Macaca fascicularis: one gene and its partners. The protein of the gene in region 2 purifies or fractionates together with the protein of the main gene of each other region. This does not show direct contact. Links are inferred from orthologs where the notes say so. Each region holds a gene or a part of one and is shown on either strand. Other genes may lie near its edges.

What was found.
Region 1: the proteins of TFDP1 (region 2) and E2F2 purify together in Homo sapiens (affinity purification with mass spectrometry; 3 studies listed by BioGRID and IntAct, with this or other methods). This does not show direct contact. The link is inferred for Macaca fascicularis from reciprocal best matches to the Homo sapiens genes TFDP1 and E2F2.
Region 3: the proteins of TFDP1 (region 2) and E2F3 purify together in Homo sapiens (affinity purification with mass spectrometry; 3 studies listed by BioGRID and IntAct, with this or other methods). This does not show direct contact. The link is inferred for Macaca fascicularis from reciprocal best matches to the Homo sapiens genes TFDP1 and E2F3.

The regions. Positions count from the first base shown.
Region 1 is NC_088375.1:211,588,243-211,592,582, reverse strand, and holds the start of E2F2 (transcription factor E2F2), read right to left. Parts: upstream 2,866-4,340; 5' UTR 2,428-2,865; coding exon 2,176-2,427; intron 1-2,175. UniProt on the Homo sapiens protein: Transcription activator that binds DNA cooperatively with DP proteins through the E2 recognition site, 5'-TTTC[CG]CGC-3' found in the promoter region of a number of genes whose products are involved in cell cycle regulation or in DNA replication.
Region 2 is NC_088391.1:104,031,963-104,035,428, reverse strand, and holds the end of TFDP1 (transcription factor Dp-1), read right to left. Parts: intron 2,016-3,466; coding exon 1,868-2,015; 3' UTR 591-1,867; downstream 1-590. UniProt on the Homo sapiens protein: Can stimulate E2F-dependent transcription.
Region 3 is NC_088378.1:152,550,894-152,554,969, reverse strand, and holds the start of E2F3 (transcription factor E2F3), read left to right. Parts: upstream 1-1,275; 5' UTR 1,276-1,605; coding exon 1,606-1,998; intron 1,999-3,000; exon of another isoform or gene 3,001-3,187; coding exon of another isoform or gene 3,188-3,205; intron 3,206-4,076.

The DNA of each region.
Region 1 (4,340 bases), on a different chromosome or scaffold from region 2:
CACAAAGCAAGTGGCCACACCCAGGGTTGGGTTTGGAGCTGCTCCAGGTCACACCCTTGTAAAATGAGTAAGCAGAGGGCAGGCCTGCCCACGGGGCTGGGCCCCGGGCATCTGGGGATGACAGGAGTGGGAACTCTGGGCCTGGCAGGCATTTAGGGTGGTCTGCTGCAAGGAGACTCTCCTGCTTCTTTGCTTGTGACCCAGGCAAGTGACTTCCTTTCTTTGCTCAGTTTCCTTATCTGCAAGATGCCTCATTCTGAACATCTTGACCAAGATAATGAACGTGAAGAGTGCCAAGCAGTGTCTGGCACACGAGAGGCACTCAGTAAAAAAGAGACCTTCTTGCTAAGATCACTGAGCCCCTCTGGGAGGGAGGTACAGACAAGATGCACTTGGGCTCCTCTGGGAGGGTTCAAAGCAGTGGAAAACCACAGCTGTTACTGAAAATTCCAGTGTGAAAGCAGCTGGCCAGAGGAGAGTGGGCCTGCTGCAAAGTTCCCTTCCCCGGGGGGTACTCAGCTCCTAAGTCAGGCAGTAATAAAGAAAGTCAAGGCTACATAGAGAAGAGCCTACTGCCTGACCAGGTGCAGTAGCTCATGCCTGTAATCCCAGCACTTTGGGAGGCCGAGGCAAGAGGATCGCTTGAGCCCAAGAGTTTGAGACCAGCCTGGGGAACATAGGGAGACCCCTGTCTCTGCAAAAAATAAAACAGAGAAGAGCCTACTGCCTTGTGAGTCCCATCACTCTATCCCATCCCCATCTCTGACCTTAGGTCACATCCCCTCTCTGAGCCTGTTTTCCCCCTGTAACATGGAGCTACTAATGCCATCTATTTCACAAACTACAAAGATGTTTTGGGCTATAAAACGCTGACCACAAGATCACCAATCCCAGTTATCCTCGGTTGCTTAACCTGTAATATGGGGACAATACCATTCCTGCCCACTGCCCTCCTAGTTAGAAATCATGTGCAGGAAGGGTCTCCGGGAAGGTTAACGTTTTGAACATGGGCAAAGCCTGAGTCCACTGGCAGGGAGTAGTGGCTCTGCCTGCATCCAGAGCTGGCTGGGCATCCGTGCCTGCTGACTAGCACAGGTCTGACCAGATGCCTCTGGGGCAGTGGGGGGTGGTCTTATCCCTGTACCTGAACTTATTCACCACACCCACAACTAAGCAAACCTATAACACCCCAATCCTCTCCCTGGAGCCGGCTTCCAAAACCCAGGACCTGGAGTCGAATGTGGCAGAGAAGAGCTAGCCCCACAGCCACCCTGTGCACACACGCATTGTCAAGGAGAGGACACTGAGGCCCAGACTGGGGCCAAGACTTGTCCAAGGACACACAGAGAATTAATGGCAGTCACACCAGAAACCAGGCTCCTCAACCACCACCACCCCCACTTCCCCGGGCTTTTCCCATTCCACCCCCCACCCTAAAGTTGTTTTGATTCACATGGGCTCCAGGAATTCCACTCCCACAAAACACACCCTGAGCCCAGGTCGGCAGGCAGCCTGGTGCCACTACACTTTGGGCCATCTCTGGCAACGAGCCTGGGAGCTTAAGGAGAGAGCAGCCAATCTGAACAGAACCCAGGGGGCTGCCCACATTTCTATCTGCTACAGGCTGCCTGGGAGGGAAGATTGGGCCTTGGGGAGGACCAAGGGCAGATACTTGGGGCTATACCAGGAGTTGGCTGGACAATTTGGAGTCTGTCCATGGCAGATTGAACCTGAGAGACTCACTAGACCTATCCCTCTGTCTTACCAAAGTCCCACAGTGTCCCCAGGCATGCTCTTTGCCTGGACAATAGCAGGCACCCAGTGCTGGTTTCTGGCCAAACAATGAAGTAATGAATGAATGGCGGCAACTTTGGCTGCATGGGCTTCCCCAAGGTCACACAGTGCACTGGGAGTAGTGGGTTGGGTCTCCCTCCAGACTCGCAATCCAGTGCTCATTCCACTCCACTAGAATGGATGAGATTACTTCATCCAAAGTCTGAAAATGAAGGGGTCTTCTACTCAGATACTGGGGGCACTGGGTCCTGGAAACTGAAAGCTCATCTTCCCTCTTCCCAAAACTCTACCTGCTCCACTCAAACTGGATCTCAGGCACCCCTCCCTCCTTTCCCACACCTGGAAAAGCATAGGGGGAAGCGGTGGGGGCCCCAGCATTACCGGTAGCCGGCCTGCCGGCAGGCATCGAACAACTTGGCCCTCGGGTCCGTGGGGAGTGGCATCGAGGCAGGTGCCGGACGCCACTGCGGGAGGCGCCGTCTGCGGGTACAGCGGCGTGTAGTAGGTGGTAGTAGCTGGGCAGAGCTGGGGGCTGCTGAGGCCGGATGGCCACAGCTCTGTGGGGCTCATCGCGGGCACCACCTTCGGGGGCTGCCCAGCGGCCGAAACCAAGGCCCGGGGCCCTTGCAGCATAGCGAGTAAGGCGCCCCCTACCCAAACGGGCCTGGCGCGCCCGCCGACACCTGCGGGTTCCGGTGCTGCAGCCGCTCACACGGCCCGCGGCATGGCGCGGAGGCCGGGGAAAGCCACCAATGGACGTCTGCGGGGCAAGGCCGGACCCTCCCCTCCTGGCCCGCAGCCGAGCAGAGCAGCGCTTGGAGATCGCCGCTTGGAGATCGACCGGCGGTTGCGGTGGTGGCACTGCCAGGGGCTGTCCCGCCCCGAGGGCACCGCGACCCGGGACGCCCCGCGCCCCCCAAGGCCTCGGCACCTGGGGTCCAGCCGGCTCTGGGGAGGAGTCCCCGGCGTGCCCGCGAGCTCCGTGGAGACGCGATGCGCTGGGACGGGGAAGGGGGTCTCGACTGCACCGACTTCCTTGCGGCCCGCTCTCTAGTCCCTGAGTCTTTCTCTGCCTCTTTTTTTTTCTTTTTTCTTTTTCTTTTTTTTTTTTTAAGCGCCAAACGGCGTGCCGCGAAATTCGGATCTCCCGCGGAAAATGCCGCGCTCCCGTTGGCTGCTGCAAGAGTACAGGCTCCACCCCCCGGAAAGAACCAGTCCTCGAGGCGGCGATTGCAACACGAGCTTCGCTGCTTAAAGGGGCAGCCACACCTGCTGTCGGTGCCGCCCGCCGCTGGACGCGCTAGCTAGCAGCCGGCGAGACGGAGACAGGGTGGTTCTGGGATGCACAGTGCAGAGGCGGCCAGAACAGAGCACAGCGCCCCGAGAAATGGGCCCGGATTCCCTGGGGTTGAAGGGAAACATTTTGGCGCCGGGTCCCGACCTGAGCCCAGACTCAGCAGTGTATTCCCCAGGCCACAGGCCCTTTTGTTAGTTTGCATTGTTGCTTAGCTAGCACATGTGCATTCATATCCCCTTTCCTGCTAAAATGAAGGCCAGGAACTTGTTCCCTTTAATGGCAGAGGGGTGAGGGATGGAGGCAAACTAGTCTACTTCTTTATAGGGAAAACTAACATCTATTCAGCGCCTGCAGGATGCCAAGCACCATGCTAGATCCTTACAAGGATTGTTTTAATTTATTCCAACAATCCTGGGAAGAGGAATGATGATCCCCATGATAAAGACTGACAGTCTGAAAGGCTGGGTAACTTGCCCAAGGTCATACAGAGAGATTCCCTGATTTGAGAGCTGGCAATGGAATCTGGGACAGGTCCCAGCTCTGGAGCCCTTGTTTTTCCAGTTAAGGGGTTCTTCTACCCTCCCAAGCTGCCTGCCGGCACAGCAGGGTCAGAGGCCCACTGCAGAGCTTTGTCTTATTCACAGTTGTATTCTTAGGACCCAACACTCAGTAAATGTTTGAACATCTCCAGGTTTCTTTTAAACAATCCTTTTGTCACAAGAGCCTCCCTGCCTCATTCAAAAATCTTCATTGCTGATAATATATTCCTCACCACTCCAGTTTAGAGAGGCTCAGAGAAGCAACCTTTGGTAGTGAGTGGTAAAGCTGCTAGAAGCTGCTGCTACATTCCAGGTCTGATTCTTGCCTGGTGCTGTGTGATTTTTATGCAAGTCTGAGCCTTGGCATTCAAAACCCTCCAGAGACAGTCCACAGCTTATTTCCTCATTAGATGGTTGAGGACAAGGTGGCAATAACCCATGATGATTAAGAGCCCAGGCTGTGTGGCCAACAGCCCTGAGTTCAAACCCAGGCCCAGACACTTTATTCGTTGTGTGACCTAGGCAAATTTTGTAAATTCTCTGATCCTTGATCCTTGATTTTCTCATCCTAATAGCACTTACCTCATAGGATCATGAGGAAATCTCCTGAGATAATGCATATAAAGCTTTCAGCACAGAACCTGGATCATAAGGAGGCTCAAGAATTGGCAGATGTTGTTATATCTCTGACTTTTTTTTTTTTTTTTTTA
Region 2 (3,466 bases):
GGCTTCCAAAAGGGGTAAGAGAAAAATGAAGGAACAGGGGTTGGGGTAGAAAGCTGAAATGGACCAAAATTAACTGCAATGTGCTGACCAAGCCTCCCTTGAAAGTTTTCAGCCTTCAGTAGATTCCAGTTACAGAACAGCTGCATCAGGCAGATCCTGCCCGCAAGGTAGACGTCTACCTGGGGAGCCAGATTCCTGGTGCTTCCTATTCCGCCATCTTCCCAGAATCCTCTCAATTTTATTCTTGTTCTCAAAGTCAAACTTTTAAATTTTGTCTCAATTTTCATTGTGAAAAAGGGCCAAGGAACTTGGCTTATCTTTCTCTGCACCACAGGCACCAAAAAGGAAGGTGCCTCTTTGCCCTGTGTCCACCAAGACCTTCACCCTTGGCCACCTTCCACCTTCAGGGTAAGCTCCCAGAGGATGTGCCTCAGACAACATTTGGTGGGGAAGGGGTTCACACCCACAGGGACCACCCAGGCCTAAGGCGTCTGGGCCTAACAACCTACTTTCTCACTCAAGTATAAAGTAAAACCAACAAGACAGACAAATTTCTAGATAATAATCCTGAATTAGAGAAACACAGCTTGTTTAAAATGCCCATGCGCGTTTTATTAATAAAAACTAACAGTGCCAAGTTAAACAAGTCAAACAATTAAAGTCTCTTTATATTCCATAAAATATTACAGAAAAGTTTATTTGTGTTTCAATAAAAAGACTATCGTTTTAGAACAGGCAGCTAATAGCAACTGTGCAGTTAATGGGTTTTGTGAATAAATTTTAAAAGAGACTACTGCCTGTCCTTAAATTCCTTTTTCTTTTTATAAAAAAAGAACTATTAAAAATGATTGACAAATTTTGAGTTAAAAAATTGTTAAAACATTCTCTATATTTAATTTCAATTTTATAATAGATTACAGGAAGATGCTTATGAAACAAATACATTTGTTTCAGTAGATGTCTTTAAATGATAGACTTATAAGTATGTAAACAACTATATAATAAAAGGTTTCCAAACACTGCCTGTAAGAAATCAGGCAAATTTTACCATAAGCAATAAACCATTCCAAGCCTTCCAGACAGTCTCCATAGCCGCACCAGCGTGGCAATAAGCTTTAACCAAACAAAAACAAACAAACAAAAGCACTTCGCAATTTGTTGCTGCAAAATAGGGAGAGAAAAGAGTGTATAAACTTGATGGAATCACAACAGTCAATATAATTTAAGGGACAATAAAGTCAATAAGGTTGATGGTGTTTATTGTTTAAAAAGTCGAATTCTGCTGTTTGCTTAGGGCTGTTTAGAAAGTCGAATTCTGCTGTTTGCTTGGACACCGTACCACTGAACAAACTCCACAGTCTCGCTATCCGCCAGCAGGGGCGCTGTCCAAACTCATGGCAAATAAGTGGCATCAGGGGGCGCCGTCCAAACTCACGGCAAATAAGTGGCATCAGGGGCGCCGTCCAAACTCACGGCAAATAAGCGGCATCAGGTGCTCACCGTCCACAACAGGAGGGTGTTTTATTTTCATGGATGTGGATGAAATACAATTTCTTCAGCAAACTCAGCAAAAACTTTTCAGGGGCAAAAATGAACTCTGCACTTAAAGAAAAATAGCAAATGAAAACACAAAATCCTAAAAAGTAAATAAACGCTCTGCATCAGCACACTGGTATCAAAACACACATCCACAGCACATCCTAATCCTACGGGAAACAATCCTTGCTTATTAGAGGTGCATATCTAAATTCAATAGCTTACCAATATCTTCTTGGGAGTAGGCCAAAAGGAACAGAAAACCCACATTAAAAAAAAAGTTTCTTTTCCTAAACGTTTTCCTGAAGCTGAATTTGAAGTGGGGAGGACATCAGTCGTCCTCGTCATTCTCATTGAAGTCATCGTCCTCCTCATCGTCCTCCCCGACGTAGGACACCGGGGTCTCCACCCTGGAGCCGCTGTACTGAGACCCATTGGAGCTTGTGGCCAGCATCCCATCTGCGCCGTTGGTCAGGTCACTGCAAGGCAGGAGGCGGATGAGGGGTGGTCAGTGCAGGGCAGCCCACTCAGCCTCCCCTCGCCTGAGGGCCTGTGGCCAAAGGACAGGCAGTGCCCCACAGGTGTGGGTTTTGTCATTCACACAAACAGAACTGGAAGGTTGTGAGTGTCTGCAGTAGAGCACACCAGCGCTCTGGCACTCACTCCATCCCTGTCTGGTTCTCTTCTAGCCCTGTCTCCTGGCATCCATAACAACAGAAACAGGAGGCCGAGCAGTCACACGCTGCCTCTCCCTCACTCATCATTCCATCAGGAGCAGTGCCCCAGAGGGAACAAACTGTAAAACCATTAGACCCCTCCCTCCAGGACTTTCACTCATAACCAGCAACAGGAAAAAAGAGAGCCTGGGGCAGGACCGGATGAAGTCCAGAGTATGGGTCGAATCTGGCAGCATGGACTGAGAACCCAGAGGGTTGGCAGCACCACAAAAACCTACCACCAACCAGAGCTCACAACATTCCTAACATTTAAAAATGTTTTTCAATTAACATAAACCCATATGTACATATTTTAATACATTTTAATGGTATTTAAAACACTACAATAAAAATCAGTCAATGTGCCTTTTGATGAAGTAATTCCGTATCTTGGAAACAAGTCAGAATGGTGAGAAATTCAGCCATAAAGCTGCACACTGTAGTTTTTCTTATAACTGGGAACTACCTAGATGTCCTTTCATGAGGTACTTTTATAATATGTCCTATCATGCCACTATGAAAATTGGTATTTGGTAATAGCTTCGTTTCTATTGTTATGAAAAACTGACGAGTCTGAAGAATCACATCCATAAAAAGATTATATGATGATAAAAGTCCTAAAAATACCCGTATCCCACCTCATGGAAGAACCAGCATTAAACATGTTAAACGTGTTTACAGACGGACCCCTACACGTTCACACATAGCTACAAGAATCGGCCTGTCAAAAGCTTGTCACCAAAGTCCTTTCTTCCATCACCATCTCACTGATCCTTGCCACAGATCAGTAACTCATCAATCACCAGTCTCACCTTACAGGTGAGGAGGCTAAGGCTGGCAGAGGCTGGCTTTGCACCTCCAGAGCTGGCCAGGAAGCTACACGTGCCTGACACACCTGTTACATCTCATGGCTACAGCACATCCCAACGCAGGCTCAAGCGCACTGCAACTCACTATGTCGAGCCCTGTTATCCAGACCCATAGGTTACTAAGTTCTTATATTTCTAATGAAAGATTTTATTAAGATTATAATATAAAGTAATACTATATATTGTATCACAATGCAATATAATAGTTAATAAAATAATTGTTTTGTTAATATTTACCATAAAAGGTATATTTATCTTTGAAGCACTAAGATCAATACCTAGGGACATCATTCTACTCTATGGGATTGCAGGTTATAGATTAAATACAAATTTATTTAAATAAAG
Region 3 (4,076 bases), on a different chromosome or scaffold from region 2:
TATATACCTTTCCCCACATTCCTGCAGGGGTCTCTCTTCCTGCTCAGTCTCAGGAGCAAGCTTTAATTTTAAGACACTTGAATACTTGAACAAATTCAGGGGTCAGTTTGACAATCATTTTATATTTTTCTAGTTTACTTAAAACTAGATAATTTCTAGTTTACTTAAAAACAACAACACTATTTTAAAAATACTTTGGGATAGGTTTGAGTCGTGTTTGCTTCCAGTCAGAGAACTTCTTACAAAACTAAAGATACAAAGTGCTGATGCCCGGGCGTGCCAGCGTTTGTTGGGGGCACGACGTCATCGTGGGAAGCGTGTACTTTTTCGGATTACTGCTTGGCGGATTAGAAACCCGCAGATCAGTTCTAGGTTAGCCCTGATTAACTGCCCTAGGTGTTTCTGGGCCAGAGGGAATATCTGCCGGACTCAAACCAATACTCGTCGTAAGACAAAGGAGTTAATTTGTACTTTACCCCTATCCAGGCTAATAATGAAGGTACCGGGAATGATCTGGAATGTTAACTGGTGCCCGCAATCGCGTCTGCTGAACCTTCTGCCCCCACGATTCTGTCTGCCCACATGCTTCTGTCTATCAGCCCCGGCCTCGGGATCAGCTCTCGCCGCGTCATTGGTTGGATTTCAGAAAGGGAGAAGCCCACGATTTAAAGGGCTCCTTTTCCACCTGCCAGGCATAGTCCGCATGGTCCAACTTGCCTTTGGCACACATTTGGAAGAATCTCGTGCTGCTGTTCGTATATTGCACTGACTGGTCAAAGGAAAGAGAGTGTTCCCTTAGTCACCTTGACAATTTCCAAAAGCGAAACTTGCGCTCTAGACTAGATCTACACTGAGTCTGCGGGGCGCGGAGTCCCTGCCCAGGTCAGTAGAGCCGGCCCGGCGGGGGGGCGGGGACAGGGGCGGAGCCTAGGCCAGGCGTGGTCTTCCGTGGGAGAGAAGGAAAGTCTTTGCCCCACCCCCTAAAAACTGCTCTTCTCCCAGCCAATCAAGGAGACCTATGCAAATAGGGTCCCTGTCGCCCCGGTAACCATGATGCACGGCAGCCAATGGAAACCTGCAAATCGCGGCCCTGCTCCACGATTGGAACTAAAGTAAGGAGCTAGAGGCCCAATGGGCTGTGGGAACGGTCCTCGGCGGGTTGAGGGGCGGGGATATGCAAATATGGTTTGAAAAGCCGGCGGGAAATCCGAGTTTCGCGGGAGGACCTTGGCGCGTAAACCGTATCCCTTCATTCATTGTCAGCAGCAGCTTCCTGGAGCCATTTTTCAGCTGCCGGCCGCAGCACCCGGGCTGCCGCCGCCGCCTCGCAATCCGTTGCATCGGCCGCCCCCGACGCCTCCATCCCCGCTTGGGGCCCGATATCCGTGCGGCCGGGACCCTCCTCTCTCCAGAGCCCCGATTATTTTTGGCCCCCGGGGCCTGTGCGGTGCGGAAAAATAAAAAGAAAAGAGAGAGAGGGGGCTCGGAAGCGCCGGGCGGGGAGGAGAGAAGGAGGAGAGACTTGGAAACTCCGACTGCAAATAATAAAGAAATTGAAAACAATACATTAATATACCATAACACTAAAAAGAGCAGGAGCGAGAGATGAGAAAGGGGATCCAGCCCGCTCTGGAGCAGTACCTGGTGACCGCCGGGGGTGGGGAGGGGGCGGCTGTCGTCGCCGCCGCCGCTGCAGCCTCCATGGACAAAAGGGCACTGCTAGCCAGCCCCGGCTTCGCCGCCGCCGCCGCCGCTGCCGCCGCCCCGGGCGCGTACATCCAGATCCTCACCACGAACACTTCCACCACCTCCTGTTCCTCCTCCCTCCAAAGCGGCGCCGTAGCCGCCGGCCCCCTCCTCCCCAGTGCCCCCGGCGCGGAGCAGACCGCCGGCAGCCTCCTCTACACCACGCCGCACGGACCCTCCAGCAGAGCCGGGCTGCTGCAGCAGCCACCAGCCCTGGGACGCGGCGGCAGCGGCGGCGGCGGCGGCCCTCCGGTAATACCCTCCCTCCCCACCGTCCCCAGCCCCGGCGGGAGGTGGGCTCGCACCGCGCGGGGTCGTGGGCGCGCTGCGGACCGCTCAGGGAGAGCAGTGGGCCGAGCATCGTGGGCCTTGGGGGCTGCCCCTCCAACGAGGGTTCATTGTTAGACCTGAGTGCTCTCCCCGGCGCCAGGAGGGTCGGGGGGCTCGGCCAGGCGCGCGGGGCGGCGGGGATTGCCTTGGCGCGAACCACATCAAACACTCCAAAACTTTTCGCGGCCCCCCCTTCTTTTCCTGCACTTTTCCCTACCCCCACTCTCCCTTCCCCTCCAACCCGAAGCTTCCTCTTTCTCGGGCGTAGGAAGGGGTCACGCCCCGGATGGAGAAGGGGGTGGGGGAGGGAGCAGTGAACTGGGGTGTGGGGGGCTCTGAAGGGTGGAAACCGGGGGACTGTTGGGGTGCTCGCCCCCAGTCTGCCTTGAAGGCTCGTTGGCGGCCGGGGGTCCCTGCGGCGTGCTCGGAGCGCAGGGGATCGGCGGGGCTGCGCTTGACACATTTTAGGATCAGTAACTCCCAGCAACAAAGGGGCTGGGGGAGGTGGAGGGGAGTCGGGCGTGGGGGAGGTGGGGCTGGAAGCCGGGTGCGGACTGGGGCGTGGGCTGTCTGGGGTGAGGGGCTTGCCGGCTGGCGCTCTGGCCTGGGCGCATCCTGGTGGTGGCAGCGGCGGCGCCCGCGTGGCCCGAGCGCCCAGGCCTTCCTCGCCGGGCCCCGGGCCTGCCCTTGACCCGCCTCTCCCCTTGCCCCTTCCTTCCCCGCCCTGTCCCCCTCTCCGCCCCCCGGCGACGGAGGGCGGGGGCAGCCGGGTTCCCGTCCCGCCGCCTGGGTCTGTCCCTCTCTCCGGGACCCGCCGGTGACGTTTCGCACACGTGCGCGCAGGACGCGCCTGTGACTGGGGAGGAGGCGGCGGCGGGAGGGGGCGCTGGAGGGGGAGAGGGGGGCACCCACTTCCTCCTGCTCGCCGGCTCCCTGGCCTGGGACGGTCCCGGCGCCCTCGCACCCGCCCCCGGCACCGCCACCCTCCCTCTCCTCTCCCCACCCCCCCACCGGCGCCCGCCCTCGCCCTGCGCCGCCGGTCTGTTCGGCCCTCCGGGCCCCCTCTCCAGCCGGCCCCCCACCTCCCCCCGGAGCCAGGCTGGTTTCGGAAATGCCCTTACAGCAGCAGGTTAGTGACCGGGACGGCTCGGGGGCCGCCGACGCCGCGGGGGCACCGGATTCTGTTGGGGGCTGAAGCGGTGAGGGTAGGCGGTTGAGCGGGGTTTTGGAGTGGGAACGGGGGGTTGGGTGCTCGAGGGAAATGAGTAAGCAAGAAAAATCTAACTAAGTAAATGCCCCGGCCTCCGGTTCTAGGAACCTCGGGGCGGGAGTGTCTGCCCCAGGGGGTGGGTATGGTGTTTACGTGGATTTTTTTTCTAGGGGGCAGATGGATGGGCGATAGAAAACCGGAGGGGGCTTCTCGCCAATGGCCGAGTTGAGCTCTGTTTTCTGTCTTCCTTCCCTTGTGCTGGAGGGGGAGGGGGGCGGGTCAGAGGGTAGGGTGTCTGTAGGATTCCCAGGCCACCCGCCACCCCCTCCCTTTGTCCCTGTAATTTATAAAGCGCCTTTGAGAGATGATTTAGGTCAGTATGCGGCTTCTCTTTTTGTTGGTACTAGAAAGAAGTGTGGCCCGGAGGTCTCCCCTTTCTCCTTTTCTCTCCTTCATTCCCTTCCTCCATGCCTCCGGGTCCTCACCTCGTGGTGAGGCTTGGCCTCCACGGGGCTAGAACCAAACCAGACTCAGATCCATGGTAGTCTGATCATACCAGGCGTGGACCTCACCTTGTCTCAGCTCCAAATGGGTTTAATTTTTGGAGAATCAAGATTTTGCGGGAGTCTTGAAGAAAGTCAGCACATAGGCAGCACTTTGGGAAATGGGATGGGTTTGGGAATAATGAGGCGTTTTTTATTTCTTTCGTGTTCCCAATTTCTCCCCGGGTTCGGTCTTAACTGCTTTCCAGCCCCAGAGATACTTGCTGGGCATGTGTGATGTAGTCTTA